Linked DNA regions of Kluyveromyces lactis. The protein of the gene in region 1 binds, or shares a complex with, the protein of each later gene. Links are inferred from orthologs where the notes say so. Each region holds a gene or a part of one and is shown on either strand. Other genes may lie near its edges. The genes, in order: MED7, MED1 and SRB7.

The links.
Region 2: MED7 (region 1) and MED1 share a complex: the UniProt entries of both Saccharomyces cerevisiae proteins name them as parts of the mediator complex. The link is inferred for Kluyveromyces lactis from reciprocal best matches to the Saccharomyces cerevisiae genes MED7 and MED1.
Region 3: the proteins of MED7 (region 1) and SRB7 are in contact, whole or in part, in a crystal structure (PDB 1YKH), measured with the Saccharomyces cerevisiae proteins. The link is inferred for Kluyveromyces lactis from reciprocal best matches to the Saccharomyces cerevisiae genes MED7 and SRB7. Residues at the interface, in NP_014506.1 of Saccharomyces cerevisiae: Tyr112, Gln113, Ile116, Leu119, Arg120, Leu123, Leu126, Leu127, Tyr130, Leu133, Ile134, Gly135, Tyr144, Val148, Ile151, Arg152, Leu155, Ile158, His159, Leu162, Asn163, Tyr165, Arg166, His168, Gln169, Arg171, Glu172, Ser173, Leu174, Ile175; in NP_010594.3 of Saccharomyces cerevisiae: Thr2, Leu8, Gln9, Leu12, Asp13, Met15, Thr16, Phe19, Cys20, Thr22, Leu23, Asn24, Ile26, Asp27, Gly31, Phe32, Ile59, Leu62, Ser63, Ile66, Ile67, Thr70, Ile73, Asn74, Ile77, Asp78, Leu80, Pro81, Gly82, Val83.

Annotation. Positions count from the first base shown.
Region 1 is NC_006041.1:649,747-652,295, reverse strand, and holds MED7 (mediator complex subunit MED7), read left to right. Parts: upstream 1-1,398; coding exon 1,399-2,040; downstream 2,041-2,549. Other genes in the region: prephenate dehydratase PHA2, read left to right, coding at 1-141; SCF ubiquitin ligase complex subunit HRT1, read right to left, coding at 490-822. UniProt on the Saccharomyces cerevisiae protein: Component of the Mediator complex, a coactivator involved in the regulated transcription of nearly all RNA polymerase II-dependent genes.
Region 2 is NC_006038.1:818,670-822,090, reverse strand, and holds MED1 (Med1p), read left to right. Parts: upstream 1-1,640; coding exon 1,641-2,921; downstream 2,922-3,421. Other genes in the region: SPE3 (spermidine synthase), read right to left, coding at 1-703; YSA1 (ADP-ribose diphosphatase), read right to left, coding at 3,359-3,421. UniProt on the Saccharomyces cerevisiae protein: Component of the Mediator complex, a coactivator involved in the regulated transcription of nearly all RNA polymerase II-dependent genes.
Region 3 is NC_006039.1:1,290,545-1,293,018, reverse strand, and holds SRB7 (Srb7p), read right to left. Parts: upstream 1,003-2,474; coding exon 571-1,002; downstream 1-570. Other genes in the region: PMT7 (putative dolichyl-phosphate-mannose--protein mannosyltransferase), read left to right, coding at 1-306; VMA22 (Vma22p), read left to right, coding at 1,223-1,735; GIC2 (Gic2p), read right to left, coding at 2,055-2,474.

The DNA.
Region 1 (2,549 bases):
CAATATTGCTTCTTTATTGAGTTTTATGGCAATTACGGTACTGATTACGAACTTCTGGCGAAAAGGTTTGACGAAAACTGCGCAAAATGGATTCACTGGGGTAAATTCTACCGAAACGCACTGTATTACCAAATCCCATGATATATGCATTATGTTTAGAAACAAAATGCAAATACTGATCTTAAAAACGAAGCAATCGAAGAGGAATGTACGCATCCTAGTTGTATTCATGGAACAACGCTGTCCTGTCTATTGTTTTGGGACCGATCGAACCTGTCGATAATTCCATTAGAAGCTCGTTACGTAACTATATATACACAGAAGCCAGATTATCTAAGCTTCTTCCCAATGGTAGATATTAAATCCACACTATCCGCTTGGTATTAAATCATTGGAAATCTAAATTGAGTAACATTTTTTGCGGTTCGAACAGTCCAATAGCGATATTAAATTTCGATAATGCATCTTTGTAGGCTTAACACTCTATCTTCACTTGCCACACCGAGCCAATTTCCAAGGTTTATTATCCAACGGACAAACATTTCTGCTCTTGATCCATTGGGTAATACAATGTAGGTGGAATGCGTGGTTGCACTCACCCCAGGCGGCTACACATTCATGCTCCGAGTTGAAAGTTGCTTCCTGCTGACAATTTACACATGGTTCCATAATATGATTTCTGCAAATGGCACAATTATCAACGTCAATATCCCATGACCAAAAAGCTACCGCTGTCCATTTCGTTATCTCAAAATTGGGCTTTGACTCAGTAGCACCCTCTGTCCCGCTCTGTGCCTCTATTGGTCCCAAATCCGTGGCCATCTCCTAACGATCAGCTACTATTGGTAAATATAAATCCTTCCTTCTTTAAAACAGATTACAAACAGACGTTCTAAGTCCCAGGTCTAACTGTCGTTCAATCCTTGGAAACGCGGGTGTGAAAACCTTTTTTTAAACTATTAATGATCGAATAGAGTAGTCTTATGAATGACAAAAGATATACCCTGTGGACTATAATGGGATCTATGGACTTTCGTAACTGCCCAAACGTTCAGAAACATTAGAATTCATGTTGAAAGAGAGACAAGAGTGATATTCATATCACGTGAATACAAACATTTGTTACCCGGATGTGAAATTGTACATGAAATGGAAATCCAACTTATAGTAACCAGCACAAACAGAAACAAGTGATAAATCAGTGAACACAGGAAAGCGTGTTGGCGATATCAGACCTGTGTTAGACCTCCGTGGCCATAATCTGTCCAGATTCAAGATAAACTGGAACCTCGACCGTCCTTTAAAGTATTGAAATCCCTCTCAATAAAAGATTTTTTTGAAAGTGATTGTGAAAGTGAGAGACAATACTGCCAGTCAGAAGCTAAAATATAAAGGACCATGAGTGACAAGAACGAAGTATCATCATTGTATCCTCCACCACCACCGTTCATTCAATTTTTCACCGAAGAGAACTCAAAACTATTTAGAGAATGTGGCAAAGATGAAGAAAAACTAGCGAAATGTACAACAAAACAGAGGGAGCAGTTGAAATATTTTGTGAAGCCAGAACTACCCAGGGATGGTTCATACAGAGCATTTGGTAATGTATGGAAAATTAAGGATGAACTACCGGAGTTATCACAGATGGGAATTGAACAATTATATAGGAAACGGGAATCTGTCACGGAATTGGAAAACGGGACCACAACAGAAGTTGAACCTAGTCCTCAAGATTCGCAAAGTGGGACAAATTACGAGAACAAGATCCAAGAGTCGAAAAAACTAATGAAATCACTATTACTAAATTTCCTAGAGCTTATAGGAATATTGGGAGTGGATTCAAGTAGATATGAGAAAAAACTTGACGAGATAAGGGTGATAGCCATCAATATTCACCATCTTCTTAACGAATATAGACCGCACCAAAGTCGTGAATCGCTAATCATGTTATTTGAAGAACAATTGGAACATAAACGCAAGGAAATGGAACACATCAATAAAGTCTGTGATGAAGTGGAATCCAAGCTGGCTCAACTGTGATATATATCCCAGCATACCAGTTGTTAAGGCGATCTCTAAAAACGAAGACTTTGGTATCAAGATGTTTAATTAAACTTTCATAAGTTCGGCTGCTTGAGAGATTTAATTCGAAATTTAGCCGCCGAATAAGGTATACAGAATAAGAAAATCAGCAAACTTTCTCCCAATGCAAGCAAAGGGGGAAGACAAATTTAATAGCAAGATGTCGGACGAAGCTAATGCTCATTATTTCTAAAAGTCCTAATACCAACTCTCTGACGCTGATTATGTAACGAAGACCTAGTAAGTTTAAAATACAAGTCACGTGCTCTACATGACTCGCGAAGTCCTTTTTCTTTTGTCTTCCCAGAATGGGGTAGAATTGCCGATTTCTCTTCGATTTCAGGTATGGCGGATCGGAGAAACTAATTCCACAGGAAGAAATCCTACAATTCCCTTACACCACACTACGCATTATAAAAAAGACCCAAAAAAAGAATTAGCGATCGGAATAACTCGTGCAGAGAGTG
Region 2 (3,421 bases), on another chromosome or scaffold:
AAGTTGGAATGGTGGTGTAGGCATAACCAACAGTTGGGAAGACCTCCTTACAAGCCTTCTTCAATTCCTTGATGATTGGCAAGTGGATCCACATACTTTCAGCTTGAGTGGAAATGACACCTTTCTCAGTCAAGGCACCGTTCAACAATTCGAAGTAAGATTGTTGGAACAAAGAGGCGGCTGGACCTTCCGGGTCAGATGAGTCAGTGATGATAACGTCAAAAGTGTTTTGGTAGTCTCTCAAGAATTGGAATCCATCACCGATATGAGTCTTGACCTTAGGATGGGAATAAGACTTCGCCATCTCTGGTAAGTACTCCTTGGAAACTCTGATAACAGCTTCGTCAATGTCACATAACCAAGCTTCTTGGACGGAATCATGCTTGACAATTTCTCTCAAGACACCGCCATCGCCACCACCGATAACCAAAACCTTCTTTGGGTTTGGGTGAGAGTTTAATGCCAAATGGGCAATCATCTCCTGGTATGAGAACTCATCACGCTCGGTGACTTGAATAGCGTTATCCAAAACCAAAACGTTACCATAATCAGTAGACTTGAAAACCAAAACGTCTTGGTACTTAGATTTTTCATGGTGTAAGATCTTTTCCACACGCAAAGTCATGGCTTGACCTGGCCACATGGTATCAGAGATTTCTCTGAACCATCCGTCAACAATCGTAGGATGTGTTAATTCTGACATGATTTCTACTTGCTTCTTTTCGACTCCACTAAAGATTTAATAAAGCCAGACAATATGGTAGATCAGATAGTGAACCAATTGAGTGCTAACAGAAAGTAGGAGTATAACCTTTTCTTATTTATGATTCTGTATTTAAATCCCATTTGCTGTTTCTTTCATATGCATTTTGCTCATCAAAATTTTTCAGTTCAAGCTAAATCGATAAGCCAGTCAGGGCCCTGACAATGTGAGAATACGGAAAATTTTTCCTTTTGACGGACCTTTGATAAGAGGGTAAGCAGCCTGCTTGCTGCCTTGTTTCTGCTCTAGTGTATTTAATCGGTTGATGTGTCACATCGATTAAGGTTATCGAGGTGTGTTAACTGTTTCGGAATGATATCTTTGTATATGCGCCTGACAGTTCACATGACATGGTATATAGAATAAGCTACTTTCAACCAACTGATCGGTTAGTCGGCCTGGATGGTGCTATATGTTGAGGGATCTGGCTCATGAGCAATCACACTCTCTTGCATCATTCTCTTAGTAACGGTTATTTGTGTGTATGTGCAGAAATTGCCAAGAATGGTCGAAGTAATTCCAGATGTTGAGAGAATGTGTGTCTCTCAACACCAGTTGTAACATTTAATTTCACAGTGCAAACATTCCTCAACCGATAGTAGAAAGGTGGATACAACCCACCAATGACTTCTTGATTGTCTCTCTCTAGAAACCAGGTATCGTTCACTTAACACGATGTAATACATTATGGAATATCCGGGTAATAATTGTTCCTAATGAAACATCGAAAGATTAAATAACCAAGTGCGCTATGCTATGAGTACCAATGATAATTACATGAGGACAATTGGGTGAGTAAGGATTCATCGCGTACCGAGTCTATTGTTACATAGTAGTGATCTGAGGGGTCTTGAATTGAAAGGAAAAAGCATCAAAAATGTCTGATGCATTTGTGGAATTGCTAGATGAAATGATTGAAAGGCTTTTGAATTATAAACCAGGAAGTCGGACTCTACCCAATGTTATCAAGCTGTGCCAAACATTAGGATTAGAATCATTTGTGGATCAAGTGGATAGTACCAAGTCAAGGTTATCAATTGCATCTAACATTGTGGTCATTGATATTGATTATGAGAATGAGATGGAGACCATTTTAGATGTTAAATTGGTCTTAGCGTCAAACTTCGATAAATTCAACTACTTTAACGAAAAGGGTGAAAATATACTATTGACATCACTTTCTGACGTCCAAGATTTGAAGGCTTTCCATCATAACTTGAATTTTTTGGTTTTCTTGGATTCTTTCTCCAACATCGACATCGAATCTGGCCACACGAGTCTTGATTTATTTAAATACTATACTGATCTGCCTAAGATGTTACAAGACTATATTAGTGATCAGCATTTGCCATTTACAGTGAAGATGAATGAAAATTCCACGTTTGGAGTATCAATATATGATGCCCAGGGTCAAACTAAGATTATGACTGTGGATTTGGAAAAAGCTCCTAATTCGGATAGATCTTTTTATGAATATGTGTATGACTCTAAACTAAAAGACTGGCTTAACGAATCATCTGATGCATCTACGCAAGGAATTAATCTCGTATTCAAATTTGAAGAACTAGTAGCGTTCCCAGAAACGTGGCTTACCACCGAGATACAGATGAATGAAACTCCAAAAAAGTTTGAACTACCACAACAATCGCATTTGAAACATACAGTTAAACTACAGAATGAACTCACATCAGATCTGTTACTTATGGATTCGTTTAGGATATCCAATGAAGATATAGCATTGTTGCCAGATTTTTTGAAGTGGTACAATTGGCATAAAATAGTTCTCCAAGAAGTTTTAAAATTAATTATTCATGACAACGTTACCAGTAGCATCTCGACCTCGAACTCTGGAAGTGTACAACCAAAACCAAGAAGAAAGTCCAGCGTGCTAAGTAATAGGAGGCCAAGTATGACAGATTCCATGATGTTGAGAGATTCTGGTATACCGGAATTCACTTTGAAGGAGATCTTAGATCAGCCTGTAATATCAGACACCGAAGATGATGATCAAATGGACGTCGACAAAGAAAAACAGATTCCTATTGTTCTGAACGAGGAATATATATATATAGGAAAAGCCCAGACTTGTTCATATAACGATAATGATGAACAAGCATGGAAAGCCTTTATAGACTACTTGAAATCTAAGCTTATATAAAAAGAATTAACGTTCACTTCAGTTTTATGATGTAGTAATATTTGAGTATAGCATTTTTTGGAAGTAAAATTTTGGTGAAATAACGCTGACGACATACGCTTCATTCATCCCAAGATTAATTTGTGGATTTGCGTTGATTTAAAGAGGTTTTTAAGCAACATTCATATAAATGATTCAAGAAATTTAGGCACTATGGCCGAGTGGTTAAGGCGACAGACTTGAAATCTGTTGGGCTCTGCCCGCGCTGGTTCAAATCCTGCTGGTGTCGTTATTTTTTTTCGTTTTTAAATTACACGGACGAAGAAGCAAGTGCCATGTATTGATTGCTGTTGCTCCTACTCTGCATCTGCTAAACTATGGTGGTTTAGTGTATCCTTATTGCCTTATTGAGAGTATTTATTGAGTATATAATATCGACCAGGAATTTGCAGTACCAGTCATAATTTCAAATCCTGAGCAAGTTTGATACCCTGGGCAACATTTTGAACCCTAGCATCTAA
Region 3 (2,474 bases), on another chromosome or scaffold:
CCGATTCTTTTCGACAATAACAACCAAATCGGTAAAATCTTATGGATAACTTCTACGGTATCTGTGGGCGTGTACACTTTCATGGAAGCATATTCCTGGTTATCTTGGAATATTTTTGAAGATACTTTACTTAATACCACTGCAAACCAATTAATGAAAAGAGAAGTCACCTTGGAGGCATTTTTAGGTTGGATCCTGCACTTATACATTTTTACTTACAGCCTGCACAGAAATCTTTCCGTTAACCAGTATATGCCCTCTCTATTATTTGCGGTGATCATTCTTTCACAGTTCTCTGTGTTATAGAACCAAGAATATCACAGCGAGCGGTGGTGGCATGACGGGGCATGCGGATGCTATGTTTAGTGATGATGTTGCGTGTCATTATAAAAATAAACGATGTCAGACAATCTGTCTGACATCGTTTCGGAGAAGAAGAAAAGGAAAAGAAGCTAAATATCTACTATATACCACTTGATACATTAGACACTATGTAAAAGTATTCTTACTCGCAATTTGACGTTAACATGTGACCCAATTTCTACCGAAGATTTCAAAATGATTCCTTTCTTATACTAAGCGTGCTTCTGTCTTCGATTCATTAATGCCAATCGTAAAGTCTTGGGTAAGTGTTCTTACTTTTTCTTGCAAAGCGTCCTTCCTTTTTATCGCGTCTATCTTTTCCTTCTCCATTTTGATCAATTGTTTCTGTAGTGAATCTATCCTATGTAGTTGCTCTTGTGCAGATACGTCTACTCCGGGTAGAGAATCTATTAGAGCCATTATCTGCCTTGTTTTAAGTATGATGTCTGTTGTCAATTCATCTATGTTCTTTTCAAATTCCTTTTCCTCAACAATGTGGGCCTGAGGATCTGACATCTGCTCTTCTGAATCGTTACTTGGTTCAAAACCATGGTTCTTATCGACATAATTTACTGCACCGCAAAATTGTTCCATCATTTGGTCCAAACATATTTGTAACTGGGTTAATCTATCGGTCATTTTTGTACACTCTTCCTTGCCTCTACTGGAGCTGGTTTGTCGCAATATTGCTAACTTTCTTTCACCTTCGAATTCGTTTATATAAATCATTGACTATGATTAAGTTACAAATATTTCAGACAACTTCAAAAGTTTGGTTTAAAACGTTTATGACTGAATAATATACGTAATATGAGAAGAAACTGCCACGATTTGGATATTAATAGACGCTAGGAAACCAATGATGACGGAGGATGACATATATCAACTCATTGTTAAGAATCTTGCAACCTATGATTCTCTATTAGAGCAGTTGCAAGCTAGTTTTGAAGAAGGTTACCATCAGTTGAGCAGAGCGAATTATCACAATAAGAACACACTTCGAGGATCATATGGTAAGGATTACTGGGACGAAACTTATACAGGAAACAGGTATATCTCCATTAATGACAAGCACTCTGTTTCGGAGACTGAAGAGCCGTTGCATATTGCCAATGACGAAGAAATCATTCCTGAGAAAGATGAAGCAACCAATGAGAATTTAAAGAAGAGAAAACAAAGAGAAAAACTATTGGCAAAGGTGAAGAAGGATCCTATATATATGTTCGGAGGTGCCCTTTCAATCCCAAGCTCTTTGAAACAATGTCAATTATCTTTCAAAGCTTCGATGCCGGTACTTTATCAACTACTAGAACTTCGACGTACTCTTAATGGTCTACTTGACGCACTAGGGACTCTGTCAAATTCAGCTTAAGAACTTTATAATTGCTATGGGAATGATCTTATATCAGAGTTAATACAAAAGAAAACTATCTGTACAATTGCTAATTTGGAAAGAACAGTTTACTGGAAACGAAAATAACGTTGGATGGCGCCAATTGAAAGACGTACAATGAGTGTATATCTGTACACATGCAGATTGGGGATTAATTATTAATAAATGAACGACGAAGGGTTAATCTGTATCAAAAAGAGAGCTGATTTCAGTAAATGCAATAACGAGTGAAAGATGGGTATATTTTCTTGAGAACAATTGTGAAAGTGAATGGAATGGCCCTGGCCACGGGTGAAGATCATAGAATAGATTTATAGTAAATGTTTGAATTTCTAGCGTAGGAAAACTCACTAGAGCTTTCATCCAATGACGATCCAGCATCACTAGGCTGTAGATAGCATAATAAAACATCATCAACTGACCTTCTGGTTCTTGGAGAGTCTAAGTATTCTGATGGCCTTAAAATTGGTGTCAGAATTGGATCAGAGTTTCTTTTCAATGAGTGCTTTGGTGTAATTGATTTTTTTGGTACTGATTTCAAGTCATCCAAAAGCATAGTCTCTAAAAGATCCGCAGAATTTACTGGTGTTTCCCATTGGAATTTGTCTATTTTCTTGTCTCCCGTTTCAGGTGTTGATACCTGGAGGATTGATTGTTCTTCTAGCAAAGTTGGGAACTGATAGTTTTTTAGGAAATCGACATCTACTTCACTGGCATC